Linked DNA regions of Drosophila melanogaster. The protein of the gene in region 1 purifies or fractionates together with the protein of each later gene. This does not show direct contact. Each region holds a gene or a part of one and is shown on either strand. Other genes may lie near its edges.

Region 1 (3,724 bases):
ATCCACCGCCCTCCACATGAGTGCCTCCAGCTTGGGCTTGATGTGCATGTAGAAAAGCGTCTCCTTGTTATAAATGTGCAGGCGGGCCAGAATGGCCTGCTTCTCGTCCGGCATGGACTTGACGATCAGGGATGTCTCCATTGCGCAGCTCTCGGCATTGCGATACTTAATCTGAGCTCGGTAAATGTTGCTGCAGTAGTTTTCCCCGCCACGCGTCAGATTGGTCAGCTGGACACCGATGACCTGCAGGTCCAGCTGCTGCAATCCGTGCTCCAGGGTGCGCCTGAAGAACTGCGGCGTAAGGTACAATGGTGGCTCCTCCAGTGCGTCCGACATCGTGTATCCGTAAATTGCAATTGTGGCGGTGAACAGCCGGCTTTTTATGCAAAATCTCGGAGAGCACTTGCCGATGCCTCATTTGTTGCCTAATTGATCTTAATGGACAGGGCACGACTGGACCTTCCTCAATTGCCTTGATGGAAGTGCATTTGCCGCTGGATTAGCGGTTTGCAGATTGAAGAACATAGCCGATTTGCAGATCTTCCAGCACAGATCGTTGCTGGAGTACCCATTTATTTTATTATTTAAATATATAACACGAAATATTATGCCATTTTGAGGAAATTGGCCCTATACAATGTCTTCAGTTCAAACTTAAAGATTCCAAATATGTAAGTATAAAATAAAATATATTAGTCCTTGAACCTAAAACTACACTTTAAATTTTTTAATTTTTTAAATTTAAAGAAAACAGGAGTGTTTACATTTTCAAACCATAATTAAAAACGCCTGCTACTCTTAAAGGTTAGTTTTGGTTATCTCTAGAGTGGAGGGCGTTCGTATCGTTGGCGCCGTGGTGGCCAGACTCCTGCTGGGCATGGTTCCGGGTGTGGGGCAATTTTTGGATCGCTTGGGCAGAGTAGCCGCCCGCAAATAGGGATTATCGATGTTGGGGTTCTCCAAAATGGCCTTGTTTGTGTTGGAATTGGGCTTGATATCCAGCTCGGGCTTCTCCTCTTTGGATTTGTCGCCATCCATCTCCTCGTTTTCGCTATCGCCCTCTTCGCCGTCGTCTAAAAGGGTGGAAAGTGTTAGCACTCGTGGCATCTGACTATTTGAAAGAAACGCACCTTTGCTGGGCTCATCTTCTGTGCGATTGGCCACCAGATAGTGGTACTCCAGCTCCTCGAAGTCAAACACCTGATCTGTGGGATTTAAAGCGGCTGCATAGGGAGGAAAGGCCGGTTTGCAGGCAATTACTGAAAGGAAATGGTTATTAATTATTGTTCGCTGGATGATTATGGTGCCTCTTACAAGGAAACATGTTGTCCTCGGTGGGAAAGAGGTTGTTCGTCTCCGTGGTCTTGCAGAGGAACTTTGTGAGCGCCTTCTCGATGTCCCGCTTCTGGCAGGCGGCCTTCTCCCTGATGGCCTCGTACTCTGTTACGGGCTGCTTGTGCGTGGGCGTCCGTATGTAGGCGTGCGGATCGGGCATGGGAGGGAAGTAGCTGGGCACGTAGTGGGGATGCGGGGCCTTGATGCCCGCTTGCAGCAGACTCAGCGGGCGCTGCTGCGTCTGCTGTGGGGGCAGTGGAATGGGCACGTGCGTCTCCTTGCGCATGTACGGATCCAAATTGGAGATCGAAATGCCCATGTTAATCAGGGCCAAACTGACATCGCCCACGGTGGGCATCGTGCGTCCACTTAGCTCGCAGTAGTTATGCGCCGAATTGCCGATCTCCCAGATCACTGGAATGGCGTGCTAAATGATTATCCTAGTACAAAATGGTAATCACAATGTCAACTTACACGCCTGCAGCATCTGGGTGAGCGTCTCCAGGCTGTGGTTGCTCGCTTGGCCGGCCCCCTTGTCCAATAGCAGCTGGGACACCACCTTGTTTAGGATCCGCCTATAGGGATCAACATTGGACACTGTTACCGCCTCCACCTTCTCCATGGAGACAGAATTCAATTTGTTTATGCTAAAGTAGAAACCGCAGTGAATATTGCCACTTTAGCGGCTAGTGATGGCACTGTTCGGCACTATCGACTACAGCTATCGGCGCAACGCTCCTTATGAGTTCAAGTGCAACTCCACTGGTTATTTCAATATTTCATCTGGCATTAAGATTTTATGTTAGTTAAACCAAGGCTTGGCATTATAAATCCTAAATTTTCAGTTCTTAAGAGTTTATTGAAAAGCTCAGTGGAAAAACACGTCACCAGAGATTGTTAAACTGATGAAAGACATTTTAAATTCTGAACTAAGTCCTAGGAAATAAAGTAAAAGTTATTTTATGTATTTATAGAAACAGGCAATTTTTTAATAATTCCAACAAACTAGTTAGTTATTCCCCTGCATAAGTCTAAAGCATCTTTTTAAGATAAATTCTCAACCATTATTAAATAAAATCGCTGAGGCGTCAACTTATTTATAAGCTGCATTACACAGCAATAACATATTATAATACAATTTTACTGTACTATATTACTTCTATATTAGTAGTTATTACTGTACACTTCTACTATTCCACACTACTTAGTCATACACTATACCATAGATTCCTCAAATTGCCTTATAATATTTTTAATATAAAATGATGACTGGGCAAACATCGGTAGTCGATGGTTGGTTCAAAAACAATCGATATATAGAAAGGAGTGCATCGCAGGTGCACCATCTCCAACAAATCAGTGTATTTTTTGTTGTTCTTTGCCAAACAATAGAAGACGAACGTACTCGGAAGTAAATTAAACAAAATCGGGCGACCGGATCGGGCGTTAATCGTTAATTGTTCAATTAAATGCAGCTTATTAGGCGCCGGGCTGCATAGTGCGATCGCAGAGTCACCGAGTGGACCGGGCCCCCTGGCGCTATAGTCGCAATCCGAACCCGAATCGCTCCATCGGGAATCTTTAATTGTGTACGTATATATGGATGAATATGGATGGATGTGTGTGGATGCTGCGTTGACTAATGTTTTTCGGATGGGGTATAGAACAAATGTATAAATGGATGGCTGAGTATTGGGAGGGGGATAGCCACTCGAACTTCCTAGCAATTTGCACTTATAATTGGAATCGTGTGCGGTCTTTTTCGAATGGATTCTATTTTTAAGCTCCGTGCTCCGTGCTCCACTTTGGTTATCAGCCGGAGTTTCCCCACTTCCCCAGAGTTGTGTTGCATATACATATGTACTAGCTGTAATCCTCTTTCTTTGTCTGCGCGCCAAAGAGTTTTCATTTCGAAACCTTAGAAAGTCTAGGTGGACAGGGAAAAATAAAATCTTGATTAATGATCGATGGGATATTACTATGAAAAACAATATTATTAACAACAGTTAATAGTAGTTAATATTGTATACTAACTCCCTATGAGCACTTTTACGTAATGATAAACAGAACAGAATTCATTTCATTGATCACATAATGGCACCTTTAACCATATCAATATTAATATATTAACAAAACAAGCACTGCTTTGGTTCGTTTGTTTTGTTTTTGGGTAGTATCCCTGGTCCGACTTTTGTTTATTGCATTTGGCTGGTGGGTTTTTGCAGTTTTACAGATGACTCAGAGCTGTCGGCAGTCACCTGTCTATGTATATCTTATCAGTAATTAAATACAGAACATATTGACAATCGAGAAAACACACAAAATTGTAAAAAAAAAGAGAGTCATCTCCTCCATTCTATTCCGTTGTAAAGTGCGCACTCGAACGTGC
Region 2 (4,774 bases), 1.5 Mb from region 1:
GTTGTCTTGATCATCAGCTTGGGCACCGTCTGCATCTCCGCCAGTGAGGACGACGACGACGATGAGGAGGAGGACGAGGCAGATGAAGACGAGGCGGATGCGGGCGAGAGGCTGGACAGGTGGGCATCGTTCTTGGCGGGCATAGCTGACTGGGCGCCACTCACAGCTGCTGAGCACGATCCAGAGTTGGAGTTGGAGCCGGAAGCAGCCGGATTCTCAGGCAACTTGATGGTCAGCTTAGGCACCACGCTGCCTACGCGCCTCTCGTTCGCGGCGCGGATGGTCAGCTTTGGCACAATGTGCGGGGTGTTTCGTAGTTGTTGGCCGAGGGTGGTAGCCACCTCGTCCTCGGCGCACGACGAGGAGCAGGAAGAGGCGTCCGCATCGAAGGCATCTTGCTGCTTCGCAACCAAGCCTCCTTCCGCTCCGCCGCAGGGCAGCTGAATGCGCAGGGGCTCCACGCGCCTCTCATCTCCGCCCGGCTGAGATTCATTTGCGTTTGAGTTGGGATTGGCGTGCTTGGAGAGCTTCAGGATGATCTTATGTCCATCCCGCTCCTCGCTCTCTACCTCAAGCGCCGTAGCGGCCATCGGTCCACCTGCTGCTCCCGCTGCTGATGCTGCTGATGGTGCTTCTCCGGATGCTGAGCTGGCCGATGCAGATGCTCCAGTTGTGCTTGGGGCATCGTCGCACGGCGTCGTCGGCGGTGGCAGCGTCGGCGGAGGCGACGCTGTGGTGCTGGTTATATGGCCGGGCTGATTATGCTGGTGCTGCAGTGCCTCCTCCCGCTGCTGCTGCTGCTGTGGCTCTGGCTCCTGTTCCCGGTCCCGATCTGCATTCAGCTGCTGATCCCGCTGGGCTGGCGACGACGTGGAGCTAACTCGCTGCTCCTCCTCGCTCGTGCTGCTCGCTGCCACTGACTTGGCGTTGCTATTAGCGCTACAGTTAGACTGGGGGCGACCTGCTGCTCCGGCTGATCCTGCTGTGGACGTGGCGGCTGCCGATTCTACCGCTGTTCCCGATTCCGATCCTGATGACGATGTCGCTGCTACCATCTGCTGCTGACGTAAATCATTCATTGCTATATTCGATTGTCCAGTGGGCCGCCAGCCTGCAAAAAGAAGTGGACGATACTTTAGATCAGGGTGCATGATAGCAGTCGATAAGATTCGGGACTTTCAACAACTAATTCTTAAATTTGCATGTGAAATCAATCCTAAAGAAAACCGCCAATACAGCATATAATAATGCGTATAATTGCCGCTCCAAGGGATGCATTTTGTTTACACTAAAAAGAGACAATTTGAAAAGGGGAACGACCTACAGACACACACACCCACAAATACACTCATACATACATACATACATATATGTACATTTGTACATACACACTTATTGGAGCCCAATGAAAGAATAAAATTGAATGAAAGCCGGGTAGAGTTACGAACTAATTATAGCACATGTCTAAACAATTAAACCGTATTTGTAAATACCGAAGGACGCGCAGGTTTAAACAGTCGCCAGCCGAAAATTCCGATGAAAATGCAATACGATTTTCCGGCGCTGAAAAACTACCGCTCGAAATTGCCGCGAAAAACTTCAAGCGAAATAAACACAAGAAGAACCACGGCGAGGGCAACAACAACAACACTTAATAAATAATAAGCGCTGCAAACATGCGCACACAGCTGTCGACTGGGGGAGAACGTGAAAAGGCAGGAGGAAGATGAGGATGAAGCGGAATGGCTATGGCGTTGAGCGCAGAGGAGCGCAGCGAAGCAGCGGGATAGGCAAATACTGAGAAAGCCGCGCCGCCACGAATTATGGCCTGTTTGTTACTGGTGTGTGCTGGCAACACTGACGCGAATTCACCACGCTGGCGGCCAAATCCACCACAAGCAGTCGATGCCGCTGCATGGAGAAAATCCACACACACACACACACATACGAAGGAGCACGACACGCACACACTCATATGGGTTGGTTGCCCTGGCCTGCGTATATGTATGCTTACATTTCTACTGGCCAAATGCAAGCATCTATCTATCTGCACTAGGACTAATATTATTGTGAGCACGATTTTAGAGCGCAATATCGACAGCCAGTGCACTGGCAACAAAATTAGCAACAACGACGCCGCCGCCAAAGCCCTGACCCAACACCACCACTACAACCACTACCACTACCAATACCAACGACAACAACAATAACGAACGGGGCAAAGAAGAAGCAGCAACGACAAGCAAACGGCAAACTCACCATGCGGCAAAGTCGTCGCTCAGAGACAGACAAAAGAAGATGGTGGAGTAGAAGAGCGCCTGCTTTTGATTTGCGTGCACAATTCGCGATTGCGATTTGGATTTGCTATTTCGTTTGCCTTTGCCTTTGCTGGCATTGGCATGCTCATATTTCTATGCACTTTGATTGATGCTGCGCGACGCCGTGCGGCAATTTTCTTTTTTAGGCGTTCGGCGTTGTTGGGCGAGAAGTAAAACACATTTTTCCATACGATTCAATGCGATTTCGAAGCACGGGCAACACTCGACTCTCGGCCGCAGTAGGCACTACTCGCACGCACACATCGGCGGTGCACACGCATGCACACACACACACACAACAGCAACAGAACGGCACACACACACACACGCTCAGTCGTACGCACACAAAGGCAGCGACACAGAGACAAGCGCAACGAGCTCTCTCAGTCGCCGTTGTCCCACTTTCCGTGTATTGGTTTCGATTCGTACACTTTTCCACGCACTTTTAACGATTCAAATTCGATGGTACAGAAGGCAGGGCGACACGAGAGTGCATTGGAAACTGGCGCAAACCTCAAAAAAATATATCCAACACGCTGGCCGCACGCACGACTCGTATGCAGACTGGTTCTCGGCGCGCGTCGAACGTTCTTATGCATTCATTATTGAACGGAATGCTCTGTTTCGCCTGTCTGCTTATGTTTTTTTCTTTTCGATTCCGAGGTACTCGTCACGACAAATGAAAATCAGTGTGGCCGTTTTGCGGCTGTCAGCTAGATACCCGGCTGGCGGGGAATGTGCTAAGAAATACCACAAAATCGACGGGGATAGCCGGGATACAAACCAGTCGGTGCACTTGACTACCGCTAAATGCGTCTTTACTAAATTGCATTTTTAGCTTTTAGCATGCAAATTATGAACTATAACCTAATTAAAATACCCATTATGGTTATTACTTTTGATCAATGTAATCATCGGTCATTCGCAATCACGCGCTCACGTCCATTCATTATTTCTTTGCAATGTCATCCTTTTTCAAAGATATCAAGCCTATTTTCTTCAAAATTGTAGACTTTTGCATTTTGCACCAACAAAGCATGCGCAAGCAGTTGTATTTGGCAAATCATGTTTGATTTCATTCAGACTTTGTGTTTTCGTACGGCGGGAAGTTTCTCTGAAAATTTAAATTTATGTACATATTTACATCGACGCTGGAAAACAAATAGCGCGCTTGCGTTTCACCAATTTCCAGCGGCATTTGCGCGGTTCTGGCCACACTGTTCGGCACACAACATAATCCTGGTTGTCGCCACTTGTTTTCGATCATTTTAGACTTAAACCAATGCAAAAGGAATTTCCTGCTAACGTTATCGATAATCGCAATAGACGCCAAATCGCCAGTTTTACCTCTTCCTTTTTCGCAGGCCCCGTTCCGTTCAGCGAATTCTCGCCCGAGCTAAGTCTATTGCAAGCGTCCGGCTATAGAAATCGACGACAAATCGCTAGTTCCACCTCTTCCTTTTCGCAGGCCCCATTCCGTTCAGCGAACTCTCGCCCGATCTAAGCGTCCGGCGATAGGAATCCACCTCTTCCTTTTCGCAGGTCCCGTTCCGTTCAGCGAGTTCTCGCCGACACTAAGTGCATTGCAAGCGTCCGGCGACAGTTCTTACCCAGATCTTGTCAAGTTAACACGATGAGTGCTCAACCGAGTCCGCATATGAATCCTCAGCAGCAGCAGCAGCAGCAACAGCAGCAGCAGCAGACCGAGCAGGAGAAGGTAAGCCGATGTCGGCAAGAACGCGTGCTAGCTTTAACTTATCGCCCGCCAGGTGTACCAGTGGATCAATGAGCTGGCCCATCCGGACACGCGTGAAACCGCTCTGCTCGAGCTAAGCAAGAAGCGTGAGACGGACCTGGCCCCCATGCTGTGGAACAGCTTCGGGACCGCCTGCGCCCTGTTGCAGGAGATTGTTAACATCTACCCATCGATAACGCCGCCCACTTTGACGGCCCACCAGTCGAACCGCGTGTGCAACGCCCTGGCGCTGCTGCAGTGCGTCGCCTCGCACCCGGAGACTCGCACGGCCTTCCTGCAGGCCCAGATACCGCTGTACTTGTACCCTTTCTTGTCGACCACGTCCAAGACCAGGCCCTTCGAGTACTTGCGCCTGACCAGTTTGGGCGTGATTGGTGCTCTGGTCAAGGTAGGTTAAGCCGAAGGCCAGTGGTCATCTAATGCACTAATGCACTTGTTGTCTTCTTATTACTGCTATCGACAGACCGACGAACAGGAGGTGATCACCTTTCTGCTGACCACCGAGATCGTGCCCCTTTGTCTGAGCATCATGGACAGCGGATCGGAGCTGAGCAAGACTGTGGCCACTTTCATCATCCAGAAGATCCTGCTCGATGAGTCGGGTCTGTCGTACATCTGCCAGACCTACGAACGCTTTTCGCACGTGGCCATCACCCTGGTGAGTGTCCGTTTCCCGAAGCCTTATGCATTGTCTAAGGGT
Region 3 (4,815 bases), on another chromosome or scaffold:
CAACTCGTCCAGCATTGAGTGGAAAGTTGACGGTGAAGTGGAGAAGGTCCTGTGGCATCCCACACAGACCGACTACTTCATCGTGGGCACCAACGATGGCACCTTGCATTACGCCGACAAACGTTCTCCTGGACAACTGCTGTGGTCCGTAAAGGCCCACAACGAGGAAATCTCCGGTGTGTGCTTCAACAACCAGAAGCCTAATCTGCTGACCTCCACCTCCACGGAGGGCACCCTAAAGGTGTGGAACTTTGATGGCACAGAGGCAAAGCACGTCTACGAGCACGAGTTCAACATGGGTCGCTTGCAGTGCATGCGCCAGTGCCCCGAGGATCCCTACACCCTGGCCTTCGGCGGAGAGAAGCCTCCGCGCTGTGCGATCTTTAACATCAAGAACTCGATAGCCGTGCGCCGAACGTTTGGAATCCCTGATGCAGAGTAGGCAAATCGTACAGCTACGTATTTATCTGTGTATATGCTTTATATGACTTTTAAATAAATATGAATTATATATAAGAACCTTAATGATTGACTTTTATATTAATTAAAATTTATTGATAACTTGCGCATATATGCACTTTACACTTTTATGCTTAAACAACTAATCGACATTTCAGGGGGGATGGGTCACAAACGAAATACAAAACATTAATCCTAAACATTCCGAGCATTCCTTAACACTACATTACGTATACCAAATAAGCTTATCTGTGCTCCTAACTCTTGAATAGACCCACGCACATCAGGAGATTTCGGCGCGTAAAGTGCAGGCTGACAAATGGCGAGTTCTTGCTGGGGAAAGTACGCATGAGGTAGACGTCCTCGTCGTTCTCATCCTGATGGTGCGACACAGTGATGTGATTGCTGATATAGTCTTCGGTAACCTTGTGAAAGTCCCACAGAGTTAGATTGTTATCCAAGCCGGCTGCAGCCAGGACTGTTCCATCGCGACTAAAGGTGATCGTGGTCACAGTGCTAGTGTGCCTCAACAGGGTGGTGACCAGGGATCCGTTCGACAGATCCCAGATGATGATATTGTGATCTACTGAACCCGAGGCCAGATACCGGCCGCAGGCGGAGAAGGCCAGAGAACTCACCGATCCCTTGTGGCCCGTCATCAGGCGTACCGACTGACCGGTCATGTTGTCCCACAGGCGTACCGTGCGATCGCTAGAACCGGTGGCCACATAATTGGAATTGGGATGAAATTGTACACAATCCACGTCCGACAAGTGACCCACGAATACGCGCAACGCTTGATTGGAATCCGTGGCCCACAGACGAGCAGTTTTGTCGTACGAACAAGAAACAAAATAGTAGCCATGCGGCGCAAAGCGAACATCCCACACCGGGTAAACGTGCCCGCGGTAGGTGACTACGCAGGACCAGGTGAGCAGAGACCACAGCCTTATGGTGCTGTCCTCGGAACATGAGAGCAACAGGTTCATCTCGGGGGCAAAGGCACAGCGGTATACGGGTCCGGTGTGACCCATTAAGCTCCTGGTTACCTCACCACTTCGGTCATCCAGCATACGCACATTGATATCCGCCGATTCCTTGTCCAGTTCGCGAAGGGAATCTGCATCCTTCAGCGTACGCAGCTTCGCGGGCGTCAATGACCAAATCCTCACGCTAGAATCGCCAAATCCACAGGCCAACATCGTGGAATCGTCTGAAATCTCGGCACAGGTTACGCCCTGATGGGAATTAAGCACCGTGTAGAAGACGGCAGAGGGCAGTTGATCCTTGCTGAGGGCTAAACGCTTGCTGGCTTCCCTGAGAGCCTTAAGCTTTAGCAACTTGTCCGAATCCTTCAGTTCCGGCAGGGGAATTCTGTCGATGGATGGAGCATTCGGATCCGACTTGGACTTTTTCGACAGCAGGGGATCCTTTTTTGGCTTTTTCTTTTTCGGACGATCCGGGGCATCCGGATCATCGTCCTCCTCCTCTGGTGCCGGCGCTGGAGTGGTCAGAGTCTGAAAGTCCACCTCCTTGAGCAGTCCGTAGTACACCCGCATTTTGTTGTCCTGTCGCTTGGCCTCTCCGAGGTGCGAGCCCGCGGTGGCGACGCACTGCAGCTTGTTGCGCGCCATGCCCTCGTATGTGTCGAAATGCAAGTACTTGGAAACAATATCTGCCACCACTTCCTGCCGGCGATCCTGAATGTGTCGCTTGAACAGAGAGTGCGAGTCCCTGGACATGCGAATGACAAACTTATCCTGCTCCATGGCTACTACGAGGTCATTCTCCAGCAGCTCCTCGGGCTTAGACAGCAAAAGAAGGTTGAAAAGACCCTCTATGTAGTAGCCGTCGAGATCGCATTTGTACTTCTCAATGAATTCTTTGGCCTTCTCCCTTAGTCCACTGGCGAGGATCTTGAAGTAGATCTGCACCAGAATTGGGTACAGAACCATGGACAGCTCATGCTTGTATATGTCCAGGGAGTCCTCAACGAAAGTGCGCAGCTCCTTGTATGCCTGCTCATAGTGCTGAGCATCAAAGCTGTCGTCGTCGATGAACTTGGCCAGTTCCTCTGCAGCATTGGCCTCCGTCACCGCGGACTGTTTATGACCCTGCGCCGGAGATTGGACATGTTTCCGCTCCCGGTTGGCATCGCCAGCTCCCAAAACTGCGCCCAGCACCTGCTGAACATCACTTTCGCTGATTTCCGACAATTCCACACTGCTCACATTCGCCTCTTGGCAGAGCAGCTCCTCAGTGCTCTTCAGCTGGTACTTTTTGATGAGTTTCAGCAGGCACAGCAGCTCACGCTTGTCGTGGGACAATTGAGTACCGTTTCCCCCGTTTATATTGCTCACTTCCAGGCTCATTTTCGCGGAAAATTGAAATATATGGAACTTGTGTACTATTTTGTTATGCGTGGAAAAGTGTGACCAGGTTGGCATCGGTTGAAAACGGCCAAGTGGAGAATGAAATATACTAAAATGCACCAAGTACAGTCAAAATATACAGTAGCCACTAGCGAAGACGGATTCTAAAAATAAATTGTATTAATACATTATAAATTATATCTTTTTGCCAATTTTTGGAATTACTTAAAATATAATGACATATTTCATTCTTTCATTTTACTACAAAATTAATATTTAACTTTTATGCAGGTCAAAGAAATTATTTGAAGATGTGCTTATAAAGGTCTTACTGTGGACAGCTGACTGAATACTTTTAGTATTTTTTGAGCAAATATCTTACCAGAATCAAAACATTCGTAATGAAGAGGAGAGTAATTGTGAAAAAGGTAAAATACAAAGTAACTGGCCAAATAAACAAGCTAATTTTTATAGCAGAGGGTAATAATTTGCTGTGCATTAACAGAATTAACTTGCCATTGCATATTTCAGTGTATTTGTCTGGCGCCTATCCCCCAACTCCTTGAACTTTGACACCGCCTCCTCGAAATTAACCCTTGTACTCGTGCTTTCTGTTGTGTTTAGTCCATATTTATTGTAAAAAATGAATGAAAATGATGATGCGGTAGGTCCATATGTAACATTTAAGCCATATTAGCTAATATCGTGATCAATTCCCGCAGAAAAAAGTCGTCGGCAAGCGGAATTCGGTGTCGTTCGATCAACAAGATCCAGGACAGCCGAGATTTAGCTTCTCTGGGAGAGTACAGGAGCTAGTCGAGGGCTACAATTCGGCCATACAGCTGCTGGCGCCCAAGTGGCCCTGGTTCCTCTACCCCGGATATCTGACATACGCCGTATACTGGCGTTACGCCAAATATTACAAGGGCAAGTTTCTGCTGACCCCCATTCCGAACCGCCTCTACGATCTGCTGATCAAGAACGAGCAGATTAAGTCGGAGCACCTGGTGTTCGCCAGTCAGGAGGTGTACGAAAACTATGCGGAATCGCCGGACGTCAACTTTGTCAACTTGGTTATCCGCGGCAGGAGGGTAAGAATCGGTAAGCCGCTAGCTTCAGACGAAGGAAATATGACCCAAACGGTTATCAAGCAAATGCTCCAGGAGGCGCCGCATACGATTGTGGCCCAGATCTTGCCGGCTGCACAGTGCCAACCCAATTGTCTGTACGTTCAGGTGGGTATCTAGTTCTAAATAAATGGAATATTTTCTATAATTCTACATCGTGTAAAATTTCAGGAGAACTTCTACGGCAACATATTGGATCGCTTTCAAATCCGCTCCAACTGCTGGGTGCAGGTAGAGCATTTTGCCGATGAGCAGACAATACCTGGAATAGCAACCAAAGCACATGTGTACTTAGTCGCAGATCCCCATGAACTTCCCGCCGAACTGACAGAGGTCATCCTGAGCAACTATTTCAATACACCTCGACTCATGCATCGTGGACATACCTACCGCATCGAGGTGAACGCAGAGTTGGTGGGCACTGCGACTTATGCCCACTATTACCTGATATTCGCTCACCTACGCCACGTCCACCTAAAGTGTATTCACCTGGAGACAAAGGGCAGCGAGTTCGAGCTGCAAGCGATTGTTGCCAAAAACTTTAGCAACCTTGTTCAAGTGCCTGCATCTCACAGTTTCCTGCCTCGTCAAGTGCTTGACAGCATGGCCATCGTTGAGAACTATCCAAGTGGACTTCGAAAGCCCTATAAGCTGTTGCGCTCCTCAGTAGATGCTTTCCTGCCAAAAAAGTCCGCCTGCCTGTCGTCAAAGCACATATTTCCTGTGTTCCTCCTGCAAGGCGAGCGAGGATCGGGCAAATCAAAGCTTGTGAGCGCCGTAGCCCAAGAGTTGGGGATGCATATTTACGGAGCAGATTGCGCAGAGATCGTTTCGCAAGTTCCCTCCCACACGGAGAT
Region 4 (7,800 bases), on another chromosome or scaffold:
ACTCTCCAGCAGCTTCAACGTCTCTAACGCCTTCTCCATGTCCTTGAAGCCAAATTTCGAATCTCCCTCTGCCATTGCTGCTCCTTTGGTTGCTAATACTTGGGTGAGTATCTGTCTGCTTCCTGTCAGCGCTAGAATACGACTGATTTTGCGTAGCCGTCTCCAACTCGACGGCATATGGCACTTAATCATGGGAGGAAGACGCAAAATGAGCACCACTGAGAGGCACTGATCAGAGCTGAGCGTGGCCAATTAGATAAGCACCACAAAATAACTGGGTGACTCTATGTTTGGAAACCGGTTTGTTGTCGTAGCACCGGAGCAAAACAAAACCCACGAGAAAATAATCGATACTTAGCCATGACGTCAGCGCCACGAGAAACTGATAACATTGAGAGGAAATAAACGATCTTAAGTATTAATTACCTAATTAAACGCCGCTCTGCATATTAAAGCATGTAATATGACATTGCTGTCGTTATATTTGCAATCATATTTATTATGATATATTTTCCCCAATCAATACGAAAATTGTTATAATTTGTTTGTGTTGTTTATTAACATGGAACTCAAAAAGCTTTGGGCTTAGCGGTGAACGATGGGCTAGTTGCAACTGCGCCGTATTTGAAGTATATCGTCGACCATGAAGTTGCGCAGGTGGCACAGTGCCTGCACCACGTTGCCCTGGTCGCGCAGATTCGGTCCGATCCACTTCTCGGGTAGCGCCGTCTTGGCCACCACCTGTGCGGGTGTGATGTGGGTCAGTGCACGCCGCCAATTGTTGTTGCAGGTGACCACGTTCAGATGGCTGCCCGTCTGCAGGCTCTCGATGTACTTAATGTAGGCCTCCGAGTGGATGACGCGAGTGGTGCGCGGCGGCACTGTGACGAAGAGCGGCTCTGGTGGCGGACCCAAGACGATCGTTTGCTGTTGCTGCAGTTGGTGCATGTTCTGCTGCGGATGCTGCTGCTGCTGGAGCTGCACTGCCTCGAGATTGCTTGGAGCGCGCGGCGATTGCGCAAGGCTGGGCGGGATGGGCACAGTAGTGGCCAGTTGCGCATGCTTCTGCCGACGCGGCACGAAATTCTTGCTGCGGTCTGCCGCCGAAATCGTCTTGCCACACTTGCTCAGATGGACCTCGCGCACATGCTTGATGAGGCGCAGAACGTTAGGAAAGGCCTGAACAGACTTCTTGACCCGCGGGCAGTTGCGCCACAGGCAGACATACTCCGTCTCCACGCCCGCTTGTGGATGGCGCTGGATGTGTCCGGTGCTATCGGACATGCAATGTTCCGTGCAGTCGCTAAGCTCCTCGAACTGAAAGTCGCACTTATCCCACTGACACTCAAAGGTGAGCACCTGTCCAAAGACATCCTGCGAAACTTGGGATGAGGGACTCGCACTGTTCTGGACGTCGTCCAACTCGCGCCGTAGGGCCGCCGTCTCCTCATTCTGTCGGCTAGCCCTATCCTCCCAGCTCTGCTTAACGCTGGAGGGCAGATTCTTCCATTCGGTGCCCACCATGCGGGATATGTCTCCAAAGGTTGCGTCCGGGTTGCTCTGGCAAATGCCTGTAAAAGAAAGTTCAACGGTTATACATGATCTTTAAAGTATACTAAATAAACGTACTTTTTCGAACTTCACTAGAGTACAAAATGTAACCGGTAAGACATTTTTTGGCCGATTTGGCGGCCTTAACTTTGGACGTCAGTGGCGTGGAGTTTACTGAAGGAGCCGGCGAGGACATGGCCGCAATGTCTGAGCTCAGCGAGGGTGTATCCCCATCCATTGAATCCTCTAGCATGCCCAGTTCATTCAATTCGTTCTTAAAGTCCTTGGAGGGCTTAATGGGAGTCTTAAAGTAAAAGATCTCATCCTCGGTGACAGAAGGACTGTGTTGGAACTTGCGCATGTTGCCCGTAACCAACTTGCGAAGAGCTTTCTTTAGCTCATCATAGACGGACTCACAAATGTACACATCGCTTTCGGATATCTCCGTGGGTCGGGAGCTGATAAATTCGGAGTACTCCAGGACGGCGCAACGACCCACGATGCCCACCACCGGACTGACCTCTTCGACTGTGCTCAGCAGCAGTTCCTGGCGATAAAATTGCTTGCCCAAGCCGGGGGTCGTCTCGCTGGGTGGTAACAGCCATGGACCTTTAAAGTATGATTTTCCATTCTGCTCCCAAATCTGCTGGACCTGTGCCACCGACTGCTTTCCTGTTTGGGTGGCCACGTAAACAAAGTCTCCCGTTTTTATGGCCCCACTGCAAATGGTGTTGTACTGCTGGTAGTACGTGCTGCCAACCTCAGCATTTGGCGGCGGATCGCAAGACACATTTGGTTTCTCCTTTTCGACCAGCGTCTCTTGGAGCTTCAGCTCCTCCAGTTCTCCTTTGTGCTTTTCCAAACGCTCCTTAAACACAGACATCACACGTTTTAACTCCAATGGCTGCTCTCGTGGAACGAACTTCACCGAGCTGCCTTCACGGACTGGCGGCCAGCTCTTCAGCTTCTTGAACCAGCGACCTTGGATATTGTAACGAGACTCGCAAACGTAAACATCCTTTTCAGGCAAGTTTTCCGGACGCATCTTGATGTAATCCTTTATGTTCATTACGTAGCACATGCCCTGCACTTTATCCATCGAGATGGTCTGCGAAAGGCTGCTCTTGAACACTTCCTTTTCGAGGAACTTGCGAGTGGTTACATGGTACGTTTCGTGGGGCCGTACAAAGATCGAAGCCTGCATCAGCTTCTCATTGGTGGGTGATGTCCAGAGGCGCTCTATGCAGCATATCGAGGGAATCTTGTTTTCCGGCATTTGCACGTATACGTAATCGCCGGGAGAAAACACCTGCTGGTTTATTGTCATGCTTTCACCCTTGGCTGCATTGAATTCATCCTTCTCCTTATCCTGCTCTTGGTCCTGTTCCTCTTGTTGCATTTTTTGCTGGCGACACAGCTCCACATCAGCCATAAGGCGTTCTAGACTAAAATTTAAAGCGGATGAGCTAAGTGTGTCCTTGCATAACTCGTCTCTCTTGCGAATGAAGTATGTTTGCAACTCGATGGAGTCCTGGAAAAGTTTGTTCTTAGAATAGTACAATGCTTCTATTATTGTAGTTATTACTCACCTGAAAAATATCCGAATCTGTGCGGGACAACTTTCTTGCACGTTCCAAACAGGCAAAAATATCTTCCTGGTAAACATCAAGCCGTTTGTAAGCTCCTTTGTCAAGCCTTCGTTTTACAAGGTCCAGCGAAATGCCGCGAACCTTGGGTCCTTCGCCAATCTCATCGTACTCCGGCAGTTCGGCCAGGGAATCCGAGTAGCAACGTCCCTCCTCGTCCTGGTGATTGTAAATAGTCGTGAACAGTGTGAGGAACAGCTCCTGAACAGCCAAAGGAACATCCGGAAGAGAATCGCGCTCGGTGCGCAGTTGTTGCTTCAGCTGCAGTGTCAATTGTTGTAGCACGAGCGCATCCTTGTAGATCTGCGAGTCTGGCTCGTTATACTTGCAGGCGTTCTCCAGCATCAGCAGAAAGTCCGCTGCCAAGTCATCTAAGGTATCATAAGCGCCCTGTTTAAGTTTCTGAGCGATTCGGTCCATGTCAATAGGTTCCCTGATAATGTCGTAGTAGTCCGGATACTCGCTCTTGGATGGCAACTTCGTAAATATAAGCGACAGCTGCCTCTTACCCTTGGGCTCCTGGTACTCCTTTACTGTTTCATAGAATTGCCACAGCCGCTCTGTAATTACAGCGGTCTTTAACTTTCTTCCCACCTTGCTGTACTTCTGCTGGCTTTTTTTGCCCTCTGTAAGACCAGGGAACTCCTTGAGCTTTTCATTTAGAGCTCGTTCCAATATATTGGCATCCTCGTATATGTTAGAGCCCTCCTCATTATACTGTCGGCAGTTGGAAAACATAAGTCGATAGTCGGATACCACGTCCTCCACGGCGGCATAGCGATCTGTGCGAATGTTATGCTCGATAGTGTTCATGTCAATGGGGTTTTGAATGATATCGTAGTAGTCCGGATAAATCTTGCGAGGCGGCTTTTCCATAAACATTTCGATGGGACGACGATTGCCCAAGGAGTAGTCCACCAAATATTTCTGTATGCTCAGAATCTTCTTTTTAATAGCCGCGTTGATGGCAATGCGATTTGATTTGGGTGAATTCGAGTTATTTGGTGTATGGGAGGCGTTAGAGTTCGAATTGGAGTTGATGCGGGGTCTGCCCGGCTTGCGCTTTTCCGGCTGCGTGCTAACCGTAAATACCTCTGTGTCCATTTCCTCTGCATCCTCGTCATCCAGATCACTGCCCTCCTCGAGAGACTCCTCCACCAGCTTGGCATTCATTAGCTTTAACATTTTCAGCGCATCCTTGTGAGTGCGATGGGACGTCGGAAACGCCTTTTTGGCGTTGTCCAGCATGAGATATAGATCGGCGGTGAGATCACTAATGTTCGCATAATCGCCCTTTTTGAGCTTTGTGTGGATTTGGCTCATAGATATGGGTCGTTTGATCAGCTCAAAATATTCGGGATGGAAACGACGAACTGGCAGTTTCCATAGAGAGTTTCCCAATGGAGGACCAGTAACTCCCGGATGTTCCGAAGTTCCTGGTGCGTTGTACAAGTGATCGAACAATGCCCACATGGGCCCCTCGCCCTTTTTGCTGGTCTCCTCGTCGTCCGAGCTGTCAACCTCCTCTTTTAGTGCTGGAAAAAGAATAATTTATATACAAAAAAGAAAAAAAAATGTTTTTTTTAATCTTACCAGCAATTGCTGCACTGGAGAGACTCTTGACGCGCTTAGCCAGCTTGCCTTTGCCCATCTCCAGCTCAATACGCCGCTGCGTAAAGATCCGTTTCAGGGATTTGGCGTCCTTATAGATCTGAGAACCAGGCTCGTTGAACAGACATGCGTTTTTGGTCATTTGTAGCAGATCCCGTTCCATCTCCGCCAGCGAGGAGTAAGCGTTCATTTGTATTTTGGTCGCAATCAGGCGCAGATCAATGGGATGCTCAATGACATCGTAGTAGTCTGGATAGATTTTCTTGGAGGGCAGCAGTTGGAACATGCGGTGCATTAACCGATCGCCCACGGGATCGGTAGCGGTCATAACGGAGGCGAAGAGCTCCTCGTACTGGTTGTACTCGTCATCAGTTGCTCCATCGCCACCAGGTTCAGTGCTGCTGGTCATTCGGCGCACTTGGCGCGACATGCGTCTGGCACGCGGCTCCTCCTCCGCCAATCCATTTGCCTCCATAATGCGCTGTCTCTGCGAATGAATGTGCTGCCACAGAGAGACTGCGTCCTGGTGCTCGCTACTGCCCGGTATGTAGAAGGCCTTGGCATTGCCAATAAGCAGCTCCAGGTCGGCCATCAGATCATCCAAATCGTCGTAGGAATCGGTTTTCAGCTTCTGCTGAACCTTGAGCAGATCAATGGGATTGACCACCACGTCATAGTACGAGGGCTCTTGCCGGCGCTTCGGCACGCGGATGAAGGTGTCGCACAGCATTGAACCGTCCTCCTTCTTTATGTTCCTTATGGAATCGTACAATTGCTGGCACAGTTCTGTGGGATCGAGACGGCGCTTTTTTCGCGCCGATTGTGTCGTCGTCTGCTGCACCGGTGACTGCTCCGGCGTCGAGTCGTCCAGCTGCAGCGGATCCTCGTCCTGCCGGCTGGATATGCTGCTCGCCCGGCGCTTGCGGCTCAGCATCGTGTTATCCCTGTTCTTATTACAGTTAAAATCTAAATATCCGATAATAAGACGCCACACAAAATGCCACAAATTCTGGGAATGAGCGAAAAAGTAGTGGTGGGCGAAAGGTTCGATAGTGCGCGGTCGATATATAGTTCGATAGCCGGCCACTTGCGTGGTGAGTTATCGTAATCGAAGCGCGCGGTGGTGAATATTATTTTAAATGGTATGTTCCCACCAAAAATCATATTTCTTAACCAAATAAACAAGCTGAACATCATTTTACTTAAGTTCTTTATTATAGCATCCCTAAAGCATCATTTAAAGTTTTAATTAAGTCATTGAATCACAGCAATATCGTAGGTAGTTTTCCTTAAATTAGCTCCTTCTCGAAAAAAGGCATTCAAGCCAATAGAAACAACGAAGTTAGGCTGAAAAAAAAGTTAAACAGAACAATATTTAATTTAAAAGTCAGCAAAACGCAAGCGCGCAATTAAAAAGCCATGATATTTCGATTAATTTAGTAAAATGCTTTGTTTATTATTATTTTTTATCACATAAGTTTTAGACGCTTGTTAGTGTGTGATTGTGTGAATATTGGGTTACAGATTTGAGTATGCCGTAAAATGAAATGAACACGCCTCATCGTTTCGCTGCTTAAGGAACATTGTTAAAATCTTATAAAAATAACTGAAATATACGTGGATAAATAGCGAAAAACATGTATGAAATGGAATTCACTCTGAACGACAAGAAACGAAATTCTAAACTACGCCTACTGCAAATTGACTGCGGCTTATGTTGCACAATTACATCTTCTATTTACATGCTAGTTATTGGCGAGATTTCTGCGAATATCATGGTACACGAGTGCCATTGTTCTGTGTTTACTGGCACCACAGTGATATGCTGGTGCACTGTGAGGACTCTGTCTGTATAAAGTACAACAATTAAGCACAACAGTTAACATTGCAAAATTTAAATATTAGTATCAGTTCTGCACAACTATACGTGATCATATAACATATGTAAAGGTATATTATATAGTTTCAGCTGCCCATCTCCCATGTTTTTCTCGTGTCTTAACAGTTCATTTCGTTTGCCTTGCGACTAGCGGTGGTATTGCGACTGCTCTTACGACTAAGGTTACGATACTTGGTATAGAAACTTGTTAGGCTCTTTAGCGGCGACTCGACAAGGCGCCTCACCTCCTGTCGGTTTATACAAAACGCATTGTCGTGTCGCTTGCGCCAATATCAGTTGATGAAGCTAATGTAGTTAGTAAAGAGCACATAGTTCTCCACTAACCGGGCTCTTAGCTCCCGGCGCACCGTAGCCGTGAATTTGTTTGCCAAGCACAGGGCAGTTGTGGTTCCAAAAACCAAATTGTAAAGCAATACAATCTGGAAGTTTCCCAACCACTCGATGGCTCCAAAATCACCCAGCAGGTCAAAGTTTGTGATGCCTGTAAGAATCAATAATAGTCGCTTTTAAACACTGTATTATTCATTAGTAATTTGCCACAGCCTACCTATGATCCTGCTGAGAAGCGGCAATGCCGACGACAAAACCAGCATGAAGCCACAGTTCAGCATTAGCTGTGGCAGCGAAGTCTGGCGCCGCTTGGGACAAACCTTGCGCATGAACGGCATGCTGTAGAAGCCCACCACCGAGGTGGCGCCGAGATAGAAGATGAGACACACCTCCAGGCCGGCACCAAAGGGACCCAACTTCGAGAGCGAAGAGATGCCCAATGCGAATTGCTAAATAAGGGAAACAAACTCAATAAGCATTCGTCTTACGATCCCTGCAGTTAGACCTACCCTTGTGCTTAGTGGCAGCGCCTTAATGCCAATAAGGAGCTCTAGTGTATTCTGCACAACCAGCAGAATGGTGACAGCTGTGCAGAAGAGCAGCAGCAGCATGGCCAGCGGATAGACGAATGTGCGTTGGAAGGTGCTCGATGTGCGCAGCTTGTCTAGTTCCTTGCGCTCGGAGTCCAGTTCTCTTAGTCTATCGTTGAGCTCGTCCACGTCACTGGCCATCGCCTTGCGCTGGTATAGATGAGCCTGGGAG

The links.
Region 2: the proteins of Taf8 (region 1) and e(y)3 purify together in Drosophila melanogaster (affinity purification with western blotting; one study listed by BioGRID). This does not show direct contact.
Region 3: the proteins of Taf8 (region 1) and Taf5 purify together in Drosophila melanogaster (affinity purification with western blotting, with the first as the bait; one study listed by BioGRID). This does not show direct contact.
Region 4: the proteins of Taf8 (region 1) and polybromo purify together in Drosophila melanogaster (affinity purification with western blotting, with the first as the bait; one study listed by BioGRID). This does not show direct contact.

The regions. Positions count from the first base shown.
Region 1 is NC_004354.4:18,100,293-18,104,016, reverse strand, and holds Taf8 (TBP-associated factor 8), read right to left. Parts: upstream 2,048-3,724; 5' UTR 1,958-2,047; coding exon 1,810-1,957; intron 1,750-1,809; coding exon 1,315-1,749; intron 1,260-1,314; coding exon 1,131-1,259; intron 1,074-1,130; coding exon 799-1,073; 3' UTR 535-798; downstream 1-534. Other genes in the region: CG7135 (uncharacterized protein), read right to left, coding at 1-336. UniProt on the Drosophila melanogaster protein: TFIID is a multimeric protein complex that plays a central role in mediating promoter responses to various activators and repressors.
Region 2 is NC_004354.4:19,635,359-19,640,132, forward strand, and holds the start of e(y)3 (enhancer of yellow 3), read right to left. Parts: upstream 3,012-4,774; 5' UTR 2,015-3,011; exon of another isoform or gene 1,494-2,014; intron 1,112-1,493; 5' UTR 1,080-1,111; coding exon 1-1,079. Other genes in the region: Rcd-1 (required for cell differentiation 1), read left to right, coding at 3,952-4,035, 4,088-4,462, 4,538-4,732. UniProt on the Drosophila melanogaster protein: Essential transcription regulator during early development. Coactivates transcription of some euchromatin genes and repress transcription in of euchromatin genes translocated to heterochromatin.
Region 3 is NT_033778.4:10,876,775-10,881,589, forward strand, and holds Taf5 (TBP-associated factor 5), read right to left. Parts: upstream 2,900-4,815; 5' UTR 2,832-2,899; coding exon 717-2,831; 3' UTR 538-716; downstream 1-537. Other genes in the region: nclb (no child left behind), read left to right, coding at 1-442; Pex6 (peroxin 6), read left to right, coding at 3,233-3,259, 3,554-4,066, 4,130-4,815. UniProt on the Drosophila melanogaster protein: TFIID is a multimeric protein complex that plays a central role in mediating promoter responses to various activators and repressors. May play a role in helping to anchor Taf4 within the TFIID complex.
Region 4 is NT_033777.3:24,799,431-24,807,230, forward strand, and holds polybromo (polybromo), read right to left. Parts: upstream 5,830-7,800; 5' UTR 5,743-5,829; coding exon 4,791-5,742; intron 4,733-4,790; coding exon 3,141-4,732; intron 3,083-3,140; coding exon 1,630-3,082; intron 1,572-1,629; coding exon 604-1,571; 3' UTR 537-603; downstream 1-536. Other genes in the region: Ude (Uracil-DNA degrading factor), read right to left, coding at 1-75; lili (lilipod), read right to left, coding at 6,981-7,189, 7,256-7,487, 7,548-7,800.